Linked DNA regions of Lonchura striata. The protein of the gene in region 1 purifies or fractionates together with the protein of each later gene. This does not show direct contact. Links are inferred from orthologs where the notes say so. Each region holds a gene or a part of one and is shown in the gene's direction. Other genes may lie near its edges.

What was found.
Region 2: the proteins of SF3A1 (region 1) and SNRPB2 purify together in Homo sapiens (affinity purification with mass spectrometry; 5 studies listed by BioGRID and IntAct, with this or other methods). This does not show direct contact. The link is inferred for Lonchura striata from reciprocal best matches to the Homo sapiens genes SF3A1 and SNRPB2.
Region 3: the proteins of SF3A1 (region 1) and ZC3H18 purify together in Homo sapiens (affinity purification with mass spectrometry; 3 studies listed by BioGRID and IntAct, with this or other methods). This does not show direct contact. The link is inferred for Lonchura striata from reciprocal best matches to the Homo sapiens genes SF3A1 and ZC3H18.

Annotation. Positions count from the first base shown.
Region 1 is NC_134620.1:2,641,016-2,644,761, forward strand, and holds the start of SF3A1 (splicing factor 3A subunit 1), read left to right. Parts: upstream 1-1,200; 5' UTR 1,201-2,458; coding exon 2,459-2,712; intron 2,713-3,746. UniProt on the Homo sapiens protein: Component of the 17S U2 SnRNP complex of the spliceosome, a large ribonucleoprotein complex that removes introns from transcribed pre-mRNAs.
Region 2 is NC_134605.1:3,353,422-3,357,167, reverse strand, and holds the start of SNRPB2 (U2 small nuclear ribonucleoprotein B''), read left to right. Parts: upstream 1-1,103; 5' UTR 1,104-1,170; intron 1,171-1,451; 5' UTR 1,452-1,463; coding exon 1,464-1,527; intron 1,528-2,685; coding exon 2,686-2,858; intron 2,859-3,364; coding exon 3,365-3,505; intron 3,506-3,746. UniProt on the Homo sapiens protein: Involved in pre-mRNA splicing as component of the spliceosome. Associated with sn-RNP U2, where it contributes to the binding of stem loop IV of U2 snRNA.
Region 3 is NC_134615.1:22,359,691-22,363,436, forward strand, and holds the start of ZC3H18 (zinc finger CCCH domain-containing protein 18), read left to right. Parts: upstream 1-1,299; 5' UTR 1,300-1,342; intron 1,343-3,746.

The DNA of each region.
Region 1 (3,746 bases):
CCCGCCCACATCCCGGCCATCTGCGCCTGCGCTCCCGGTGCGTCACTTCTGGCGCGCACGCGCGGCACAGCGCCCGCCGCCGCCATTTCGCCCCAGTCGGAGCCGGCGCCGCGTCCGCTCCGCACAGAGCCGGGCCCGCTCCGCACAGAGCCGGGCCCGCTCCGCACAGAGCCGCGTCCGCTCCGGACAGAGCCGGGCCCGCTCCGCACAGAGCCGCGTCCGCTCCGCACAGAGCCGGGCCCGCTCCGCACAGAGCCGCGTCCGCTCCGGACAGAGCCGCGTCCGCTCCGGACAGAGCCGCGTCCGCTCCGCACAGAGCCGCGTCCGCTCCGCACAGAGCCGGGCCCGCTCCGGACAGAGCCGGGCCCGCTCCGCACAGAGCCGCGTCCGCTCCGCACAGAGCCGCGTCCGCTCCGCACAGAGCCCCCGGCAGCGCCTCCATCGGCCCCGCCCGGCGCGGAGCCCCCGGCCCCGGCAGCGCCATGCCCGCCGGACCCGTGCAGGCGGTGCCTCCGGCGCAGCCCGCGCCCCCCGCCGAGAGCAAGCCGGTGCGGAGCGGAGGGGAGGGGAGCGGGGAATGGCGCGGAGCTCAGGGCTCTGGCAGTGTGGCCCTCACGGGCCGGGCCGGGCTGGGCTTGGGGGAGCTGCGGCTTCGTCCGGTGCGCGGTGTTGACCCCTGTGCCGCGCTCGGGTGAGAGCCCACCTGCAGAGCTGCCCCAGCCCTGGGCAGGCACAGGAGGGACCTGGAGCTTTGGAGAGAGTCCAGAGGAGGCACCAGAGATGCTGCAAGGGCTGGAGGTCCTCTGCTCTGGAGGCAGGCTGGGAGAGCTGGGGGTGCTCACCTGGAGAGGAGAAGGCTCCAGGGAGAGCTCAGAGCCCTTCCAGGGCCTAAAGGGGCTCCAGGAGAGCTGGAGAGGGACTGGGGACAAGGGATGGAGGGACAGGAGACAGGGAATGGCTCCCACTGCCAGAAAGCAGGGCTGGATGGGATATTGGGAATTAGGAATTGTTCCCTGGGAGGGTGGTGAGGCCCTGGCACAGGGTGCCCAGAGCAGCTGTGGCTGCCCCTGGATCCCTGGCAGTGCCCAAGGCCAGGAGCCTGGGCTAGTGGGAGGTGTCCCTGCCCATGGGCTGGGGTGAAATGAGATGAACTTTAAGGTTGCCTTCCAGCCCAAACCATTCCAGGATTCCTTGGAGACAGCAGGATCCAGCTGGGGCTGGGCAGGAGCTGAGCCCTTCCCTGGCAGTGCCCTAGGGCTGTGGTTCCAGTGAGTTGGGGGGGGGGTTGCCAGGAGCTGTGGGAGCTATCCTGGCTCCAGGAATGATGTGTGGAGGGATTAAAAGCCTGAGGGAGTGTGGCAGTGCTGTGTGTCCCTGTAATCTCCCAGAGCCTTTCTCTCTTGGCCATTTTCATGTTCTTTGCAGCCTTCCTGAGATGGGAATGTTCATTCCTCATGCATTCCTGAGATGAGAATCCAGCTCCCACAGAGCTGAAGCTGCTGTCCTGACTCTCACACAGGAACATCAACACTCTTGGGGCTGACAGGGAGCTGATCTCGCTGAGAACCTTGGAAAATTGTGATTCCCCCCCAGAAAAACCCAGTGGCTTTTATGCACAGTTGTTACCAAGGCAACATAGCAGCATTGTTAAATATCGCTAGTGTAGTGTTGCCCCATCCTTCAGCTCCTCAAGATGATGTTCTGAGGGAGTGGGAATAAAACCTAGAAATGTTCATGGTGCCTTTTTCTTAACACACCTTGTTAAGGTTGTGTTTTATGGGATGGTTTGTTTTGGAAGGGACCTTAAAGCCCATCTCATCCCACCCCCTGCCAGGGCTGGGACACCTTCCATTGTCCCACGTGGCCTTGGGCACTGCCAGGGACCAGTTTGACTTCAGAACATTTTCTGGCTTGGATTTTCTGTGGATTTGACAGAGCTGGGAGCTCTACCTGGATTTTAAATTATCCCTGACTGTAGCCCTGTTAGGATTATAAACATTTCCAGCAGATCTGTCCCAGTTTATAACACCTTTTCTTGGAAGCTGCTTGGTGAGGAAAGAGAAGCAGCATCTTTAGTATCCTGCAAAAGCATCTTATGGTTTTACTGGAATACAGATCCTCCTGTAACATCAGTGAGAAAAACACTCTTGGAGATTTTCTCTTCAAAACACCTTCTGTTGCAGCTACAATGGCATTAAAAGCTGTGTTTTATTTAATGTGGAGTTAATAATTCAGGTCCCACAGGCCCCTAGGAAGATGCAGAACTTCCACAGCTGCTGAGGAATGATGAATTATTCCTGGAAATGTTACTGGAGCCTCTTGGCTCAGCATTTAAAAACATACTTGGGGTCAAGGCTGATACAGTGAAAATTGTTTTGGTTCCCATGGGGGCACCTTCCTTGTCCTGCTGTCTCTGCCCCTGCAGCAGGTGCCCCTGAGAGTCCAAGGAGTTGGTGGGATGGATGATCCAGATTGTTCAAGCAGTTCAGTGGCTGAGAGGCTGAGGAGGAGGATGGATAAAGGTTCCTGTGTGCCATTGTTTGGGATGCCTAATCCTGACTCCCCTTCACCTTTTGCAATGAAACTGTCTTCATTACAGCCAGAAGAGGAGCCTAAAGAGGAAGCAGCACCAGCCAAGCCTGTGGTGGGAATTATTTACCCTCCTCCAGAGGTCAGGAATATTGTGGACAAGACTGCCAGCTTTGTAGCCAGGTAAGTGGCACTGGTGGTGTCTCTTTCCTGGGATTTTCATGCTTCTGCTGTTCAGTGCAGCTCTAGAAGCTGAAGCAGGTCCCAGTTTTGTGGTTTTGCGTGAAGGATTTCAAGGATTGAGGTTGTACCAGTGAGACTGAAAAAGAAGTCTCTTCAGGAGAGGGTGTAAGACACCCTTTGCTAGAGAAACTGGTAGTAAATAAATAAAGTCCTTGTTCAAATGTGCAGTGAGTGCTGCAATAACTAGGTGACCGGGCCTGTTCTGAATGATCTGAAGGGGAAACCAAATATCAGGTGCAAAGGGAGCCCTGGTACAGGAGTCATGGCTGTGTTTTGGTGCTAAAATGTGGTTGGTTTTGGTTCCAGAGAATTACTAAATGCTGCTCCAGTCCAACCCTTATTGTGTTACTCATCTTGAAAGTGCTGCCAAGGAGCGTTGGCTGCTTCTGAGCATATGGGGCTGTGTTTATCCTTTGGGATTGCAGAGAGCTCCTCTTTTGGAGGAGCTGGAATGTGTAAATGAGACTGGGAGTTATCCAGAGAATATGAAGAGGAACACCCTGTGGCAGCTGGGAATTTTCTCCAGCTGCCCTGAAATCACTGGCTCGTGCTTTGGGTGGGAGGAGGGGATTTTACTTGGACTGGGACTCCTAAATGCAGCACTCTGGGCTGGTCAATCCCTGCACAGGCTGATGTTTACCTGCTTTTTTTCATCATATGATCACTCTAGAACTGAAATTAGTCTTGAGAACTTGTTAATAGAGCAGATAAAATGGATGTAGTAAGTAACTTGTAAACTTCATGCTTCATAACTGTAAACTTCAGCCAGTGGTGGAAATGACCTTTGAGTGCAGACAGATGTGGCTGGCGAACACTTGTGAGTGTGAATTTTTAATATTCACATTAAAGGCACAATTAGGGTGACAGTTGCATCTAACTTGTGTGTGTTCAGCTGGTTGTGAGCTACTGAGGGAGAAACTCTGGTCGTGTGAGAGAGAGAATGATCTTCCAAGGGGCTGATGCCTCAGCACATC
Region 2 (3,746 bases), on another chromosome or scaffold:
TAGGAAACTCTGTCTGGAATGTGTCACCTGCTTCTTCTTATCCCCACAGTGTCTTCAAGTCTGAGCAAGGCCTGAAGAAATTAGAAAAGAGAACCATGAATTCCTCTTTTCTGGAAGATTTGGGTGTTCTGTGATTGTTCTCTCAAAGTGAGTATCACGTTCTCTTAAAAAAAAACCCCCACATACATAGTTTCTATTTTAACTACAAAACTACATTTACCATACTATTAAAATGTAAATACAGCACTTCTAATCAATATAACATATATATAGTATAGTATACCATAATATAGCATTCAAAGTAATATTTTATATCTATTATAAATATATTATTATATTATTATATATACTGTTACATATATTAATATATTAATATATTATATAATTATAAATTAATATATATTATATTAGTATATAAATTAATATATATTATATTAGTATATAAATTATTATACTATTATATATAATTATATATAATGTTATATATATATATTATTCACATATAATACATTATTCAAATTAATATTTATGAAAAGCCAATCCTAAAATAGGCATTATTCACAGTCTAGTGGAAGCTGTCCATGTCCATGGCAGGTTGGTTTTACTAGATGACCTTTAAGGTTCTTCCAACCCAAACCATTCCATGCTTTCCCAAGCTGCTGCTCTGGGCGCTGCAAAGAGACAAAAGAAGAAAAAAAAAAAAAAACAAAAAAAAAAAAAAAAAAAAAAAAAAACAAAAAAAAAAACCACGAAAAAGCAAATTGAACCTGACAAAACCAAAACCAAGCAAAAAAAAAAAAAAAAAAAAAAAAAGATGAAAAAAACTAAAAAAAAAAAAAAACCCAACAAAAAAACAAACAAAAAAAAACCCAAACCACACTTATTTTCGCTTATTTCTCTATTAGAACAGGACAGAGCCAAACCTGGGGCAAGAAACGCCCATTTCAGCCGAAAACAACCTTTTATCCCTTTTTATCCCATCAGGCTTTTATCCCCTTTCCTCCCTAACGCCGCCGCTCCCCATCGGCGCTCTCGGCGATCGGCCATCGGCGGCTCCGCGATCGGCCATCGGCGGCTCCGCGATCGGCTCTGCGGCCTGCGCTGCGTGCCGGCGGGCGGGACGCGCCTGAGGGCGGGACGCGCCGGCCGCCATCGAGCGGGAGCGCCGCGGTGAGGGGCGCTCAGGGCCGGGGGCCGGGGGGGTGCAGGGAGGGCCTGGATCGGGGTTCCCTCTCTGCAGTTCCCGTCTTGCAGTGTCGCAGCCGTCTTCAGCACGGAAAGAGCCGGGTCGGGGCGGACGTACGGACGGACACGCTGCCCCCCCACTCGCGGTGCCGCTCCCCGGGGCTCTGAGGTGCAGCTCCCCGGGGATGTGAGGTGCAGCTCCTCGGGGATATGAGGTGCCGCTGCCCGGAATTCTCTGACGCCTCTCCCGTGTGCTCTGCCCGCAGGTGCTGCTGAGAATGGACATCAGGCCGAACCACACCATCTACATCAACAACATCAATGACAAGATCAAGAAGGAAGGTACGAGTGGCTGCCGGTCGCCTCTGGTTGTCCAACACGGCACTTGTCTTACAAAAGGGATTTTAGGAGCTCCCCGACGTCTCTGAATTGCTGAGCAGGAGTTGGTCGTGAGCTGAGCTCTAGGCAAACGCCTTGTTGTAATGAAACAGCAGCAAAGCAAATAATTGCACTTCCCACTAGATCAGGTTGCTGAGGTCTCCCTACAGCCCAGTCTTGAATGCTTTTAGGGATGGGGAGTGCTCTCTGGGAAACCTGTTCCAACACCTCACCACCCTGACAGTAAAGGCTATTTTCCCAATATCACATCTAAGCCTCCTCTCAGTTTGAAGCCATTCCCCCTTGTCCTGTTGCTCCAAACCCTTGTAAATAGTCCTTTTCCATCTTGTAGGCTCCCTTCAGGTACTGAAAGGCCAAAGTTAGATCACTCCTAAGACTTCTCTTTTCCAGGCTGAACAACCCCAAATCTCTCAGCCTTTCCTCACGGGAGAGGTGCAATAGTTCAAATGTAAGGTTTTTGTGTTTGAATGATTACACAATACAGATTATTTATTTACCTTGATTTGGATAGTGTTAAGGTTTAATTTGGCATGTGTTCAGGTTATTGTAGATAATTGAAGTAAATCCAGTGTAAGCTGCAGTAGTCTCATACAAAAATAATTTGGATCCAGAATACGAAAAAATACTTCATGTGAGTGAGAAAATTGATTAAATGTCCAACTTTAATTAGCCTTTAGGTAGTTACTGTTCTGCTGCATTCTTGTTTTACATCATGTCTCTACTGCTGCTTGTTTCAATTTTGATTTTCTAATCAGTCTGAGATGGCTGTCATTCATCATGCTTGAGTGTGTGTGCATATACCTGTATGAAAATACGTTTTTACATCCCTTTATGTAATTGTTCCTCCCTTGGAATGGCAGAATGGATGGCATTATAACTTCTTCAGTACGTAAATCCTTGAGGTATGAAACCAAATGCTGCACACCAGTTTACAAAACCTGGGCAAATAAATTTGTAATGATGCAACAGTTTTGACAAACTCGTGCACTCACTGTGTGAGCTACAGCTTGTAAAAAACACTGCTCCCAAAGGACAGCAGTCTTGGTAGAAGTGGGGATTTGCCTGTGACCTGCTGTAATCTGTTTTCTCCCTGGTGCCCAGAGCTGAAGAGGTCCCTGTACGCGTTGTTCTCACAGTTCGGTCATGTGGTCGACATTGTGGCTTTAAAGACCATGAAGATGAGAGGACAGGCATTTGTTATATTTAAAGAACTTGGATCATCCACCAATGCTTTGAGACAGCTACAAGGCTTTCCATTTTATGGGAAACCAATGGTAAGTTGTTTTTGTAAGATACTTGCCTTTTCTGTTTGAGAAGTTTGGGTTTTGCTGAATTTACATTTCTGCAGAGATCTTGGAAATCACTGTCAAATTTTAACTCCCTTTAAAATGGGACTGAAAACTGGCAGTTTTAATAGAAGCTAGTTCTGATTTTCTCAGATGTCCTCTGTGTAGCTCAAATGAATCTCCCTGTAGGTGCTACCTTGGCAGATGTTAAAAAGATGTTAGATAAATGGAGTTCCAATTTCAATGAACTAAAGTTAATAATTTCCATATTAGGGTTTTTTTTTAGACTTCTGTATTTGTGTTCAGAAAAAACTGAGAATTGTTTACTTCATAAGTGTACCTACATTTTATAACAATGTTTTTAATATAAAAGGTTTCTGCAAAAACAAAAAGGGTGTAAATACAGAGTTAATGTACGTGGTGCAAACTGTTCAGTATTAGTGACTGCAGAATATACTCTGTTTTTATTTTTTTTATTTTTTTCTTTTAAAAAGCGTATTCAGTATGCAAAAACAGACTCTGATATAATCTCTAAAATGCGTGGGACTTTTGCTGATAAGGAAAAAAGAAAGGAAAAGAAGAAAGCCAAAACTCTGGAACAGTCAGCAAATGCACCAAATAAAAAAGTTATCCAGGTAAGCTGCTTCTCTGTTCAGAAAAAAAACCAACCAAAAAACCCCAAATAAACAAACAAACCCCCCCCCCCCAAAAAAAAAAAAAAAAAAACAAAGAAAGAAAACCACAAAAAAACACACAAAAAAGCTATTCTAAATAATTTTTTAGGATTTGATGTTGTCTTTTGTTACTTTTCAATTCCCTAATTTGGGGTCTGTTGACTATCTGGAGCTCTTGAGCATTTACTAGAAGTAGAAGGAG
Region 3 (3,746 bases), on another chromosome or scaffold:
TCCAGCCCGCCCGCCTCACCTGCCCTGATGTACCTGCGGCACAGGCTCCACCCCGGCCGCGCCCCCTGCCCGCCCACCCCGCCGGGAAACAGAGATGTTCCCGAGTGGCAGTTCCCACTGGTGTCCATCCGTGCACAGAGATATTCCCGAGTGGCAGTTCCCACTGGTGTCCATCCATCACAGAGATGTTCCCGAGTGGCAGTTCCCACTGGTGTCCATCCCTGCAGAGATGTTTCCCTGTGGCAGTTCCCACTGGTGTCCATCCATCACAGAGATGTTCCCGAGTGGCAGTTCCCACTGGTGTCCATCCGTGCACAGAGATATTCCCGAGTGGCAGTTCCCACTGGTGTCCATCCCTGCAGAGATGTTCCCTGTGTCAGTTCCCACTGGTGTCCATCCATCACAGAGATGTTCCCTGTGTCAGTTCCCACTGGTGTCCGTCCATCACAGAGATGTTCCCTGTGTCAGTTCCCACTGGTGTCCATCCCTGCAGAGATGTTCCCTGTGTCAGTTCCCACTGGTGTCCATCCATCACAGAGATGTTCCCGAGTGTCAGTTCCCACTGGTGTCCATCCATCACAGAGATGTTCCCTGTGTCAGTTCCCACTGGTGTCCATCCATCACAGAGATGTTCCCGTGTGTCAGTTCCCACTGGTGTCCATCCATCACAGAGATGTTCCCACTGGTGTCCAGCCATGCACAGAGATGTTCCCTGTGTCAGTTCCCACTGGTGTCCGTCCATCACAGAGATGTTCCCGAGTGTCAGTTCCCACTGGTGTCCATCCCTGTACAGAGATGTTCCCTGTGTCAGTTCCCACTGGTGTCCGTGGAGGGGGCACAGCTGGCACAGCTGCCCAGCGATGTGGGCTCTCCTCTCTGGAGACATCCCAAACCCACCTGGACACGTTCCCTTGCCAGAGCTGCCTTCCAACCCTGAGCATTCCCCGGTCCCGCGGCACGCGCGTGGCCGCCACCTGGGGCACACCTGGGGACACCTGGGGCACACCTGGGGCACACCTGGGCACGCGGGGGACCTCGCACCTGTGCGCGCGCTCACACACCTGCGCTCCGCCCTTGCCGTGCGCGGCCCCTTTAAGACGGGGGGGGGGGGGGGAGGAGAGGCGCGCGCGCGCCCCCCCCCTCGCCTCGCGCCGGCGGGGCGCGTCGCGCGCGGATGACGTCACGCCATGGCCGCCCTGCGCCGCCGCGAGTAGAGGCCGCTCCGCCGCCCCGTCCCGCGCTGCCGCCGCCGCCCCGCCGGCCCCGGCCCGCCCCCGCCGCTCCCGGCCCGCCCCCGCCGCGCCCCGCACCGCGCCGGGCCCCCGCAGCCACCCCCACACCGGTGAGGCGCCTCCCGCGCCGCCGCGGCCTAGCGCCGGGAAAGCGGGGGGGGGGCGGGCGCGGGCCCGGCGGGGAGAGCGGCGGCACCGGGGAGCGGGGAACGGCGGCGGCAGCGGGGAGAGGAGGGGAGGGCCCGCGGGGTTCTGAAGGGGTCGGCGGTGCGCGGGAAGCCGGAGAAGCTCCGGGCCGGGGCAGCGCGGAAATGAATGAATTGCCCCGGTTGGTCGCGGTGAGGAGCGGGAGGGGCCGGCCCCGGCGCCGCGGGAGGCCTGGGGGGGCCGGGGGCAGAGCTGGGACCGGCACTCCTCGGAGGGGAGTGGGGACGGGAGAGCGCCCGGGGGCACGGCACAGAGGGCCCGGCTGGCACCGAGCAGAGTGAGGGGCACAGAGAGCCCGGCTGGCACCGAGCAGAGTGAGGGGCACCGAGCAGAGTGAGGGGGCACAAACTATGGGGTACAGCAGCCTTGCCTGCACATGGGGACAGCCCGGGCTGGCCTTGGGCTTTGTCACCTGTGGGGACAGTTTTGAGGTGAGTTTGGGCTTTGTTACTTGTGGGGACAGTCCAGGCTGGCCTTGGGCTTTGTCACCGTCAGGGTCAGCTCTAGGTTGGGTTTGGGGTTTGTCACTCATGGGGTCAGTGCTGAGGTGAGTTTGGGGTCTGTCACCTACAGGGTCAGTTCTGAATGGGTTTGGGGTCTGTCACCTGTGGGGTCAGTTGTGGGGTGTGTTTGTCACCTTCAGGGTCAGCTCTGAGGTGAGTTTGGGGTCCATCACTTGCAGAGTCAGCTCTGAATGGGATTGAGCTTTGTCACTCATGGGGTCAGTCCTGAGGTGAGTCTGGGGTCTGTCACTTCCAGGGTCAGCTCTGGGGTGGGTTTGGGGTCCATCACTTGTGGGGTCAGTTGTGGGATGGGTTTGTCACCTGCAGGGTCAGTCCTGAGTTGGTTTTGGGGTCTGTCACCTGCAGGGTCAGCTCTGGGGTGGGTTTGGAGTTTGTCAGCTCTCAGGTGTGTTTGGGGTCTGTCAGCTCTCAGGTGGGTTTGGGGTCCATCACTTGCAGGGTCAGCTCTCAGGGGAGTCTCCTCAGAGCTGCAGCAAGGACAGCACCTCCAGGGTGTGAATTCTTTCCTCCTGAGCTTTGCCTGGATTCAGAAAAAGGCTCCCAGTTTATCAGGACAGCTCCTTGCCAAACTGCTGATCCAACATCAGTCTTTTGAGTGGGATTATCCCAAATCCTGCTGGATCCAGGTGTGACTCTGCTGCTTGTCTCTCCCTGAGGCCCTGAGAACTCACACCCAGCGTTTGCTGGGGGAGAGCTGCAGGGAGATCAGCTGTGCTGGGAAAACATTCTGCAGCTGCTTTTCCCTGCAGGACCCCACCACAAATCCATGGGGAACATTCCTGCTTCAACCCCAGCTCCTGGAAATGCCTCTCAGCACCAAACTGATCCACAGGGCACCTGAGTTTGGGGCATCAAAGGGTGCCCTGAGAGCTGCTGAGTTCCCTGGGCATCCTGCACCTCAGAGCTGCCCAAGGATGGTAGAGAAATGAGGATTTGGGTTAATTAACCCTGTTAGCAGCTGGAATTGCAGTCAGGGCAGGGCTGCACACAGGTTCATCCTCTCAGTGTTCTGTGTTTCCCCTCTCCTGGCTCCTGAGGAATTGATTTTCTGCTGCCACTGCTCTTCCATGTTCTTCCCTGTGTTGTTTCCTGCCCTTGGTTTCTGCTTTGCCTCTGCTCTTGCAGTTTTTTGTTCCCTGAATCTTTGTGTGCTCTCCTCACCTGTCCTGTCAGCACTCTTCCCTCTCCTCAGCTCCCTCAGAGTTCCTGCTCCAGAATTTGCTGCTCTGCTTTCACCCCTGGATCTCATGGAGCTGATTCACAGCAGCTCTTTGGCTTTTAGGAAGTGGATTTTATCCTTTTATCCCAAAGATTTCAGCCGGAAGGAAAAAGCCTCCTCTCTTTTTTTTCCTTCCCATGTGTGCTGTGACCTCCCCCAGGGCTGCCAGGGGACAGAAATGGGGAATGCACTTGGTTCATCATATCCATGAAAATTGGTAGGATTTTAAGCCTGCAGTTGATGGCTCTGCCCAGCTCCAGGTTTTTGTAGGAACTCAGTTCCTGCCTGGAATTTCTACCTTTTTAATTTTGCACCTTTTGGTGCTGTTCATTTAACAGCAGAGAAGAAATTGGGCCTGATTTTGCAAAAGGAGCTGCTGGGTTAAAATTCCTGCTCTGACTCCTCTGGCCTTGTGAAAATCAACTGACAAAGGTGTGAGATTCAGGATATTTTTTTAAATGTATCCTGGCGAGGTGGAAATGGACTTTTAAAAGCAACTTAAGTAGCAAAGAGCTTTTCTCTCCCTGCCCTTAGTGCTGTGCCAAGGCTACTTAATCCCAGTGC